Linked DNA regions of Cricetulus griseus. The protein of the gene in region 2 interacts with the protein of the main gene of each other region in a biochemical or structural test. Links are inferred from orthologs where the notes say so. Each region holds a gene or a part of one and is shown on either strand. Other genes may lie near its edges.

What was found. The genes of interacting proteins can lie anywhere in the genome.
Region 1: the proteins of Cdc27 (region 2) and Pttg1 form a complex in vitro, tested with the Homo sapiens proteins (3 studies listed by BioGRID). The link is inferred for Cricetulus griseus from reciprocal best matches to the Homo sapiens genes CDC27 and PTTG1.

Annotation. Positions count from the first base shown.
Region 1 is NC_048600.1:58,114,647-58,120,679, reverse strand, and holds the start of Pttg1 (securin), read left to right. Parts: upstream 1-2,321; 5' UTR 2,322-2,389; intron 2,390-2,401; exon of another isoform or gene 2,402-2,871; 5' UTR 2,872-2,895; coding exon 2,896-2,983; intron 2,984-4,090; coding exon 4,091-4,269; intron 4,270-5,585; coding exon 5,586-5,682; intron 5,683-6,033. UniProt on the Homo sapiens protein: Regulatory protein, which plays a central role in chromosome stability, in the p53/TP53 pathway, and DNA repair. Probably acts by blocking the action of key proteins.
Region 2 is NC_048600.1:117,572,096-117,578,121, reverse strand, and holds the start of Cdc27 (cell division cycle protein 27 homolog), read left to right. Parts: upstream 1-2,111; 5' UTR 2,112-2,223; coding exon 2,224-2,250; intron 2,251-2,374; exon of another isoform or gene 2,375-3,061; intron 3,062-6,026. UniProt on the Homo sapiens protein: Component of the anaphase promoting complex/cyclosome (APC/C), a cell cycle-regulated E3 ubiquitin ligase that controls progression through mitosis and the G1 phase of the cell cycle.

The sequences.
Region 1 (6,033 bases), about 59 Mb from region 2:
TCCCAGACTCGGGAGGCAGAGGCTGGAGGATCTCTGTGAGTTCGGGGCCAGCCTGGTCTACAAGAGCTAGTTCCAGGATAGGCTCCAAAGCTGCACAGAGAAACCCTGTCTCGAAAAACCAAAACAACAACAACAAAAAACCAAAACAAAGGCATTCTTCTGGGGACAGAGGCGTCCGCCTCCCTATGACCAGGACTCTTTCCTTGAGGACTCAGCCTCTGTCCGGCTGGACCCGAGGGTTGCGCCTGCGCCCCGGGCGGTAGTCTTTTCCCCCCCATCCCGGTCCGCGGTCTTTCCGCGGGTCGTCACCACGAGGACTCACTGCAGGAAATGCCCGCTCCCCCGAGGCTCCCAGTTCGTCTGCTGAGTCTCGGAACCCTAACTTACCCAGTCCGGCCGCAGGCCACGCCAAAGCAGCCGCCGCGAACGAAGTAATCCGGTAATGTTTACTTCCGGGTTCCCTGTCTTCGTCCGGCAGCCCAGCGATAACTTCCGGAAGGACGACACATGCGCACTCTCAAGTGCTTGGAGATTTTTTTTTTTTAAACAAACAAGACCGCGGTCTGTGCAAGTAGTTCGTTGTGCACCCTGCAGGGAGAATGGTGGCAGTGCAGCTTTGTGCCCCCCGCAGGGTTGAACCCTTGTTCCTTCTAGAATTTTAGCAAAAATGTTTACTGAAAAAAACCAAGAAGGTAGGCATAATGGCCCACGCCTTTAATCCCAGCAGAGATAGGCAGATCTTTGAATTCCTGGCCAGTGACATAATAAGATCCTATCTCAAACAAACAAATTTAAATAGTCCCCCATAAGACAGAAAACATTAAACAAATTACTGGAAAATAGATTTTAGTGGAATTTCTTTCTTTCTTTTTAAATCATTGTTTTATTTTAGATGTATGAGTTTTCACATCATTGGCGTCAGATCCCTAAACCACAGGTCCTCTGCAGGAACAGCAAGCTCTCTGAGCTATTCCCTGGAAAAATTTCTTTGTGCTGTCTTGTGGTTATTTACGATTCCCCACATGAATTCCTCTTCAAATATAGATGAATATAGCTAACATCCCTGCCTCAGTCGAAGAGCCCAAAGTTATAGATTGTGGAGATTTAATTAGCCAGGCCAAAGCCAGAATGCTTTTCCAGAGGAATTACAGAACTTTCTGGACAAGAAGGAGTAATTGTCCCCCAGGTCTGAGTTCTCAAGAAGATTCTAGAGATACCAAGAAGGTAGAGGTCATAGCTGGTGAGTGTTTTTTGCAAAGCTGGATTAGAAGAAACTTGTATTAGCTAAGGACTCAGCATTCTACACGAGGGTAGTTTACCAACCAAAAGGGTATATTACTCCCCAGTAACAGGTGGGAATCACAGGGCTCAGCTAGGGACATCATCACTAAGAAAACAAATGGCCCTTTAAAGACACTGTGGTTATGTAATTTACTTGCAGTGGGACCTGGGCATAACCATGTTTCCTGTTGGTGAGAAAGGGAGAAAAACCTCTCAAGGAATTAGAGAATATCCATGTGGAAGCTGTGAGAATTTATGCAGATTTCTTTTAGAAACCAAAACTTTTGTGTGCTAGTGATTTAATATGAAGAAGCAGCATTTAGAAGGAGATGCAAGGAGAAAGCAGATTAAGGGAATAACAGGATTAGGGCAGAGGAAGGACAGTAAAGGTGTAAGTCCTTAGCTAATAAAAGGGAGTCCTGCATTTCAGAGTGTTACAAACCTCTCTCTGAAACATTGAGAAAACTTTTCAAAATAAAGGTACATTCCTCAAATTTTATCAGCACCATTTTTTTTTTTTTTTTTTTTTTTTTTTTTTTTGTTGTTGTTGTTGTTGTTCAAGACAGGGTTTCCCTGTGTAGCTCTGGCTGTCATGGAACTTGTTCTGTAGACCAGGCTGACCTCAAACTCACAGAGATCCACCCACCTCTGCCTCCTCAGTTCTGGGATTAAAGGTGTGAGCTAACACTGACTTTGGTCTACAGAGCTAAACTAGTTCCAGGACAGCTCGGGCTGTTGCACAGAGAAACCCATCACCCAGACTGGGTCACATGAAACCCTGTTATAAAAAAAAAAAAAAAAAAAAAAAAAAAAGTCTTACAAGTTTAAAGTAGCGAAACGACGTTTTTGTTATTGGACCAATGCTTCCTCACAGGTCCACACTGTGGATAACAAAAAGTCCATCAGGAGTTTTGAGCAATGTATGACCCTAGTTTTTTAATTTCTGGGAGAGAGAGAGAGAGACGCTGGAGGGGGGCGGTAACTAAAAACTTCGGTTGGTCTCATTGGTTGTCAGACTCTAGGCCCCGCCTCCTCTCGCATGGTCCAATTGAAGCGCGAGTTGTGTTTTAAACCGCGGAGTGCGGTGTCGTTGGTGGCGCAGTCTTGGGTGAGTTTAGTTGCTGTGTGAGGGTGTTGTGCGTGAGCTCCGGGTGGCTAGGGGCAGACTGGAGACCGAAGCAGGGTCGGGATCTGAACCTCACTCGGCCCCGAGTCCCTGGGCGCTCTTGACGTGCTTGACCCGCGGCGACGCTGTTTTAATTTAAATTTTTTTCTCCCCTGCCTCCCTCTTCAAGGTCTCAAGCAGCCCCGGCTGGTCTCGAACTTGTTATGTTCTTGAGACCAACCCTGAATATCCGAACCTCGTGCCTTCTCCTCCCTAGCGCTGCGGTTACAGCCGGGAGACAGTTTTGATGGGTGCCAACTTCACTTGCCTTCTCTTTAGGAGTTTAGTATTTCTGACTCTGAAGGTTTTAAGGTTCTTAAATTGAAGGTTTAAGATTTAGTTTAATTCTTATTTTTTTGTGCACATGTGTCCTGGGTAGACTTTGGTCTCCGTTGCCGCTTAGCTCTTCATGCCTTCCCCAATAGGTCTCTCCTCTAGAGTAATCCAGGATGGCTACGCTGATCTTTATTGATAAGGATAATGAAGAACCAGGCAGCCGTTTGGCATCCAAGGATGGGTTGAAGCTGGCGTCTGGTGGTAAGTATTGGCTGGCTTCAAATATACAGGTGTTGGGAGTGGATGATGGTTGTGGTCTAGAGACCATAGCATTTAGTGTACTTTGTGGTTGATTAGAGTCAGGTTTCATATATTTTCATGCTTATTATCTTTTTAACTTTAGAAAAGGTGTCATGTAGTTCAGACTGGCCTCTACTTCCCTTTATAACCTAGAGAGATCTTGAACTTCTGAGCCTTCTGCCCCCACCTGCCCAGTGCAGTGATTATAGGCATGGTCACCATGCCTGGTTTATGCAATGCTGTGGATTGAACTCGGGGCTTCTCAAATGCTAGGCAAGCACTCTACATACTAATCAAGTCCCCAGGCTCTATGCTTAATCTATTTGTTGAAGCAGAAACCCCCACCCCCATGTAGCTTTAACTGGATTGAAACTTGCTATGTAGATCAGGCTGGCCTTGAACTCAGAGATCCACTTGTCCTCTGCCTCCTCAAGTGCTAGAATTAAAGACACATGCCTGGCTTCATGATTATTGTCTTTTTTTTTCCCCCCCAAGACAGGGTTTCTCAGTAACAATCCTGGCTGTCCTGGTACTTGATTTGTAGACCAGGCTGGGCTTGAACTCACAGATCCACCTGCCTCTGTCTCCTGAGTTCTGGGATTAAAGGTGTGTGCCACCATGCCTGGTTGTCAGATTATTGTTTCTGTCAAGGTTTCTCTATGTAGCTTTGGAGCCTGTCCTGGAACTCAGTCTGTAGACCAGGCTGGCCCTGAACTCACAGAGAGATCTGCCTGCCTCCCGAGTGATGGGATCAAAGGCGTGTGCCACCACTGCCCGGCTTCATCTTACTGTCTTACTGAGGTTATTTAACAGTGTGCTAAAATGCCAAAAACAAAGCATGGGTTTGTGAGTGAGAACTGGGTCAAGTTGAGGTGTTTATATGGCCTAATCTTTAAGAACACCATATTTACTTACATATTTGTATATGTGTGGGGGCATTCACACATGTTCCATGGTGTGCCTGTGGGAGTCAGTTCTCCTTACACTTTGTGGGGGCTGGGGATTGAACTCAGGCAGTCAGGTTTGGCAGACTTTATTTATTCTCAGGATTATACTTTTTCTCAATAGTCAAAGCCTCAGATGGGAAATTGCAGATCTCAGCGCCACAAGTTGGCAAAGTGTTCAATGCTCCAGTCTTGCCTAAAGCCAGCAGAAAAGCTTTGGGAACTGTCAACAGGGTTACAGAAAAGCCAGTGAAGATCAATAGACCCCTCAAACAGAAGCAACCAACTTTGACTGTGAAAAAGGTGAGTTCGGGATAGGAAGATGGGGGGTGTGTTCATGCTTTAGCACCTAAAAAAAAAAAATTATTATTTCGTATGTGCATTAATGTGCATGTGTGTGGGCACCCGAGGACACCAGAAGAGGGCATTGGGTGCTTTGGAACTGGAAGTACAGGCAGTTAGTTGTGAGCTGCCTTACATGGGTGCTAGGAACTGAATCCAGCTCCTTTGGAAAAGCAGCAGGTGCTCTTAACCATTGAGCCATCGCAAGCCCCGCTGTAGTACTTCTGATGCTTAAAAATGGACTTCTAGGTCTTCTACCTGGCTTTCTTCCAAGTAGGAGATAAATAGCGGTCCATAAACAAACGAGCAGAGGAGAATCACACTGTGTACTGCTCCTGGTTGCTCAGCACCCTTGAGATTGTAACTAATGCCTCAGCTCTCCTTAACAAGTTTCAGGAAGCAGCTGGTTAGAAGCCACCAGCAGGTGTGTGAAGTACTCAGCTGGGTTTGATAGACACCTGCAATCCTAACACTTGGGAAGCTGAAGCTGGAGGATGGGCTGGTTGGAGGCCAGCCTGAGCTACAGCCCCACCTCCAAGTCTGGCACACACAAATGTATGAGATAAGATCCAGAGCACCCAGGTTTCTGTTTTGGCCTACTGCTATTGTCAGCCTGGTATTCTTCAGATGTTTTATGTTTTGCTGCTGCTTAAGCCCATATATTTAAGGGAACATAAACTTCTTAATATTAGCCAGGCAAATGATTAAGGTAACAGTGGCAGAAAAATCATACTTTTATAAGGTAAAAATGACTCCCAGGATTGGCTACTATTCTGGGGTGCCTCAAGCCTATCTTCTCTACTGTTAGGTTTGAACAGTCGAGTTGATTAACTTAACTTAAAAAAAATACTTAGTTTGTATGTGTGGATGTTTGCCTGTGTGGTATATGAGTGTACCATGTGCCTGAGGAGGAGATAAAGGAACATTGATTCCTTTGAGCTGGAGTTACAGATAGCTTGAGCCACCCTGTGGGTGCTGGGAACTGAACCTGGATCCTCTGTAGGAGGATTAAATGCTCTTAACCACTGAGTCACCCATCTCTCCAGCTCCTTAGCTTTTGTATCTGTGTAGCGCAGGGCCTGCTCATGTGATGGCATGCATTTCAAGGTCGGTGGACAACTTCCAGGAGTCACTTCTCTTCTTGTCTTTTGACTGAATCCTGAAAACCAAGGATCAGAACACAGAATTGACAAATTTTAAAGTGAAATCATCATTTGAAGAGGCCCTCCAACCTCACTTCTATTCTCACAGGTGCTTATTCTCTTGGGTTTTTCTAGACCATTGAGAAGGCTCCTAAGACACAACAAGTCTCTGTTCCTGCTTCTGATGACGCCTACCCAGAAATAGAAAAGTTCTTCCCCTTCAATCCTCTAGGTAAGGTCTTTGTATGGTGGAAATGCCCTTGGCTTGAGATTCTCTTAGACTCTAATGTCATGTGACTGTAATGTATTGCTCCAGACTCTGGGACTATCTGAATAAACAGACTTGTTCAGGTGGAATCACTTGCCAGGGTATCACCTTCCGGTCAGGGGGAGAATGGGAGCAAAGATGTTGAAGAAAATCAGAAGCTCAAGGTCATCATTATGTGAGTTCAAGGCCAACCTGGTCTACACAGCTATGTGAGCTCCAGGATAGCCAGGGCTACATAAAGAGACCATGTCTCAAAACGGTGTACCATTTGATATCGCCTCTGATGTCATCAGAAAGGGCCAAGTGTAGCTGGGC
Region 2 (6,026 bases):
TGCCACCACCACCCAGCCAGACTCCATTTCCAAGGATGGCTGGAGCTGATGGGGGACCTCAATGGTAGTGTTTGCCTAGCATTTGCAAAATTATGGGGGTGGGGAGAAATCAATGTACCAGGTGGTGGTGGGGGATCAAAGATGACCCACCAATCCCTCTCATTGCGCATATCTTTTGCAGAGTTGCTTTGCTATTCCCTCATCAAGAGATGGAGCATGTTTTCCTGGTAAATCCAGGCTGATCCTGTGTCTTAAATTGACCAACAATGGATTTGACTTTCAGATCTAGGCTTGAAGGGGCCTCAAAGCTTCTGTTTTCACTGACTTGCTTGACAGACACCAATTCAAGCTAGGATAGGCCACTGACTGGTGAGCAATCACTGTATGAAGAAAAAGGTTTTGTTGGGGAGAATCGAGAGGCCCAGATATTAGCAAGACCTTAGACTCACGGGTAAAGTTGTCCTCCAATTCTAGCTATTTCAATAACAACTCTAGTTATGTCAATGACTTAGGTCTTTGGGATGTGACTAGAATATCTGAAGAATTTCATTTGGTTTAAACTGAACTTTAAATAGTGAGCAACTGTTATATAGGCCAGCACGGATGTTTATTCCCACTCTAATTCATCCAACACAATCCCATTAAAAGAACAGGGCATGGGCCGGCTGGAAATTGCCTTAGCACCCATCTTTCATGGGACTAACAAGTATGTAGGCAATGTCTGGAGACAGTTGGATCTATTAGAAGGAAAGGGGGACGAGGAAAAGGATGGCTACCATTAGATGACTAACCCCCAGCATCTCTAAAATGACAATGCTAACTGTATCATCTGTACACAATGTGGAAATGAGGGGCTGGGGGACTGAGATTGATTGATTCCCAGAACCAGGACTGGTGCCAGCGGTAGTCTGAGAGGCTGAGGCAGGTTTTAAAAGTTCAAAGACAGCCTGGGTACCTTCAATACTTTAAAATAAAAACAAAACAAAAAAAAGTAACAAGAGGGCTGGAGATGTAGCTCAATTGTTGATCACTTGCTTAGCCTACCAGTAATGAGAGGTTAGATCCTCAGTATCCAGGGGAAAAAGGAGATTTCCAGTTTCACATCTAGCTCAGAGGAGTCCCAACAGAAAGTTAACTTTCAGAAGCTTTCCTTGTCTGACGAAAAGGGAGATTTTAATAGTTCCTTTGTTTATTCTGAGGATGTGGCCAAAAAGCAGACATTAAACCCTCTGTTAGTGTTTGTAACTACAGCCATCATTTAAATCCCTATTTCCCTATTTACTTCCCTCTTCTCTGAAGTTGAAGTTTTACATCACCCAGAACAAGTTGCAAATAACGAAATTCTCAGTTACACTGATTTTTTTTTTTTCAATTATGAGCCAGGGTGTCAGGTAGCCCAAGCTTGCCTCAAACTCGCTATCTTGTTCTTAATTATCCTGTACTCTAGATACTTCTGCGTCCGCCTCCCAAAGCAGGAGAGCAATGTTTAGGTGACACTGGCGATCACCCCTAGGGCTTCATGCATGCTAGGCAAGTACACAGCCTAGGCGTTTTTGTTTGCAACAGACCGTATCTCTTTGAATACAGGAATCCTATATATTTGGGGAATGGCAATGTTCCAATTATCCCTCGATTTTCCTCAGAGGCCTGAGTAGGAATTCCAGGAGTGGATAATGACCTAAACTCAAAAGACTTTATTGAATTCAGCCCCAGACTAGTATTTTACCCCTCGCTGAATCTACCGTGCACAACAGGGAACGGCGGAGGCGCTTACCCCGACCAACAGTCCCACAGGTAACTCCGGCCGGCCGGATCCCTCCCTCCAGGCCCATCCTACTAGTAGCTCTTTGGGCGTGGCCCAGCTAGCGTGGCCAATTGGGCGTGGCGTGCGTAGGGCGAAGGCGTGGCTGAGAAGAGGAACTTCCGATTGGGCCCAACCCAACAACTTCCGGTAGCACTCGCCAATTTCCGGCCACAGACTCCGCCTCCGGAGGCTCACCTCGAGTATTTCCGACATCTCTCGGGCTTTTCCGTCTCGCTCTCGTTTGGCTCTCTCCACTTCGGGTATTTCCGTGTCACGCTCGGAGGAGTTCGGCAACCACTCGGCCTCCCCCATCCCCCGGTAACGGTCGCTGGTGAGTTTAAATGAGCCGGGGCTGGCCGGGCCGGAGTCGCTACGGGGGGGGCCTGAGGCACTGCAGAAAGTGGGCCTGAGCCTCAAGGATGACGGTGCTGCAGGAACCTGTCCAGGTAATACTAGCGCCTGCTCCGAGGCCTGGCGCCATGCCTGGGTCGCAAGCGGCGAGCAGCCACTCCGCGGCCTGCTGCGGCCTAGGCCCCGCTTCTCCCGCCTCCCTTTCGGCGAGCCCCCTACCTGTCTTTCGTCACTCCCGAGGCCTTGCCCGCGGCCTCAGCCGAGGTTAGCCCCGGCCCCGCATTACTTCTCGCCTGTTGTGCCAGCCGGGTTCGGCGGGAATCACTCGTTTCCGTCGGTCCTGGCGTCCGGCCATCCCCCTCTTGTTGGTCTGGGTTCCTGCCCGCGGTGGGAGACGAGGGGCCGCCCGAGACGGCGCTCCGAGTGCTCGGCGTCCCGGGGGTCGACACAGAAGCGCTTTTGAGCCGAGCTGGTGGGATTTCACACCCGTGGGGCAAGTTTACTGGTGTTTCCTTGCTTTTGTTTTACGTGAGGTGGTCGAAGGAAGACGTAAAATTACCCGTATTTTCGGTACTGGTTTTCGTTTCGGGAGCAGACTTTCTTGTCCACGTTACAGTTCTCCGTGGATTTCCCACCGGACAATGACGACCTGAGAAGGGAACTCCCAGGCCCACTGCTGCGGGGCAAACACCCCAGCAGGGGAGTGGACGAAAGGGCAGGTCTGGATTTTTTCCATCACCTAGGATGGGTATCAGGAGGCATTTTACCGTGCTGATTTAGAAGGTGTTTAGGAAATTAGAGATAATTGCTTTCCCATCCATTTCACCATTCGTCCATTCCTTAACCACACCAAGGTATGCATTGACGCACACGGTGCTGTTGTCAGAAGAAAGCCTATTGGGTTTTGAAGTATGTGATGCAGTGCCAAGTCATTTTCCCCCCTGCCACATCTGAAGAAACTGAACCTATTGTCCTTTGGTGGTGGACCAGGTTTGGGAGATGTTTCATTCCACCGTATGATCTTTGACATGACCACAGTTGGCCTCCATTAAATTACAATCATTAAGCCATAAGCTATTTTGAAGTTATAAATCAAACCGATTTTAGAAATTGCTGCGAATTGCCTTAGGTAAGACTGACAACAAATATTTAATATTTCAGTACGTCAGTACAGCATTTCCTTAATGTCTCATCGCAGCCTAAAATACGGTTTCCCTAGTTGAACTTCATCTCCAGATGTTTACATGGTGACAGCTATTAGTATTTGAATTAATATAATTCTGGATTATATCTTCGGAACTGTACATAAAACATATGTTTGTATGTTTTTTGTTTTATTTTTTTTGTTTTATTTTGTTTTTCAAGACAGGGTTTCTCTGTGGCTTTGGAGGCTATCCTGGAACTAGCTCTTGTAGACCAGGCTGGTCTCGAACTCACAGAGATCTGTCTGCCTCTGCCTCCCGAGTTCTGGGATCAAAGGCGTGGGCCACCACTGCCCAGCCCATGTCTCTGTATGTTGTATCAATTCTTCCAAAGCTGCATTTCTTTCCAGATTTCTCTTCCTAGTGTAGAGTCCCTTAAAAGGCCCTTTTGAGGCCTAACATGAAATTAAACGGATAAGGAGGTTATTCAGATAATTAGTTTTTATTTCATATTGTAGTTTTGTCTTACTTTTCTGCTTTTCTGGAGCCAGAAGGCTTCTAAAGTGATATGATAGTTTACAGCATGTAAACTACTACTTAAAAATTTTTAACTTCTAGAAAACCATGAGAGTGTAGAATACATTGTTTAAGCAAGATAGAATCCAGCAGGTTTCCTGTTTGTTTTTAAAGTACTGTGGAATTTACCTCCCTCTCCTCCATAATAACTTTTTCCATTAGATTTTAGGGTAATTGTAAGAAGTTTTGGGGTGTGAGGGGATGAGAATAATTTATAGTTGGCCGGAGGATCAGGAGTTCAGGGTCATCCTTGGCTACAGAGCAAGTTCAAGGCCAACATGGGCTATCTGAAACCCTGTCTCAAAAAAAACAAAAAACAAAAACAAAATAACAACAAAAGGAGCAGTTAGCAGTGGGAGAAATTAGCTAACTTTGAGCAGGAATGCTGTTGAAAATGAGAAAGAGCTAGTATGAAAGAAAAAAGTAAAGAGATGCTAAGATAATTGTTTTAAGAATTGTTCATTCCATATATCAGGATGAAAATAGTGTTGAGAATATTTTCTTTACTTTGTTCCTGGTGATCTAGGCACAGGAAAAAGTTGACAGAAATAATGCACAACTATTTGTTCCTACCCCCCTCCTTAAAATTTTTACCCAGTGAAATGTGCCATATAGACTTAAATATAAGCCCCTCCCCAAGTTAGCACTCATAGAAAAAACATTGCTTTATATTTGAGTCTTCTGTTTTTTGAGACAGGGTTTCTCTGTGGGACAGTTCCAAGCTGTCCTGGAACTTTCTCTGTAGACCAAGCTGGCCTCGAACTCACTTGAGATCCACCTGCCTCTGCCTCCCAAGTGCTGGAATTACAGGCACCTGGCTTTATATTTGAGTCTTTACAAAATAATCTTTGATATTTCAAAGCACAGATTGATTTTTGTGGCAGTCTCACTGTGTAGCCCTGGCTGGGATTAAAGGCATTCACAGTACTAATTTGGGTGCCTGTAAAAGTGGCATTTTTTTGTTGGTATGGTGTCTTGTTTAACTTTCATTTACTGTGTGTACATGTGTGTGTCAGTCAGTCTTGGTGACAAGTATCTTTATCCTCTGAGCCATTTCACTGAAAGCTGTTGTTGTTTTAAGAGGCAGGTGTTTTATATAGCTGCATCAATTGATAAAGCTGTATCAATTATTGCTGTAAGTGAAGCTTCACAGATGTATTGGATGAAATTGTAGACAAGCCTTTTGAAAATGATTTTACTGTGCAATAGAGGAACTAGATGGAAGAACCTTGCATGCTAATCTGCATCTGAAACTCCAACTAGAGGCAGGAAGATAAGGAGTTCAAGGTCTGCCTGAGCTACATAAATCCATGTCTCAAAAACCAAAACAAAATAAAGGAGTTTGGGTATTATCCATCCATAATTCATGTCATCCTTTTAGAGGTTTTTTGTTGTTGTTGTTGCTTTTTTTGTTTGTTTTGTTTTTTCGAGGCAGGGTTTCTCTGTGGCTTTGGAGGCTGTCCTGGAACTAGCTCTTGTAGACCAGGCTGGTCTCGAACTCACAGAGATCCTCCTGCCTCTGCCTCCCGAGTGCTGGGATTAAAGGCGTGCGCCACCAACGCCCAGCTTAGAGTTTTATTTAATAGTGAAAGAGTACTTTTGACTTGGGATAAGATGTCCCCAAGTGTCACCTAATAATGTTTCAAAGAGTACCATACTATGGCTGCTACGTGAGAAGCATCATGGTCAAGAGAAGCCTGTCGTCTTAGAAGCAAAGGTATCTAGAGTAGCAGTGGAACAGGAAAAGGGTAGATAAAGGTTTTAGAGGTAGAAATTCAGGAAATAACTTGGAAAGTAGAACCATTGAAACATGGGGAGGGGATTGTCTTCCTGGAGTTGGTATCAAAAATGACTGCCTGAATTTTATTTCAGTGGTGCTGTTTAAAAAATGAAAAATCCAGCTGCTTGTGATGACACATGCCTTTTGATCTCAGCACTTGTGAGGCTTGTAAGGTCAAGGCAGGTAGATCTCTGTTCGTCCAAGGCCAGCCTGTCTACATAGTGAATTCAGGCTAGCCAAGGCTGCATAGTGAGATGCTGTGTCAAAACAATTCATAGCTCCCCCAAGCTAAAACTAATTCCCTAGAAAAATAATAAATGCTTTTCTACCAGATAGGATTGGGGCAGATTCAAAAGAAGACATTTAAGAATTC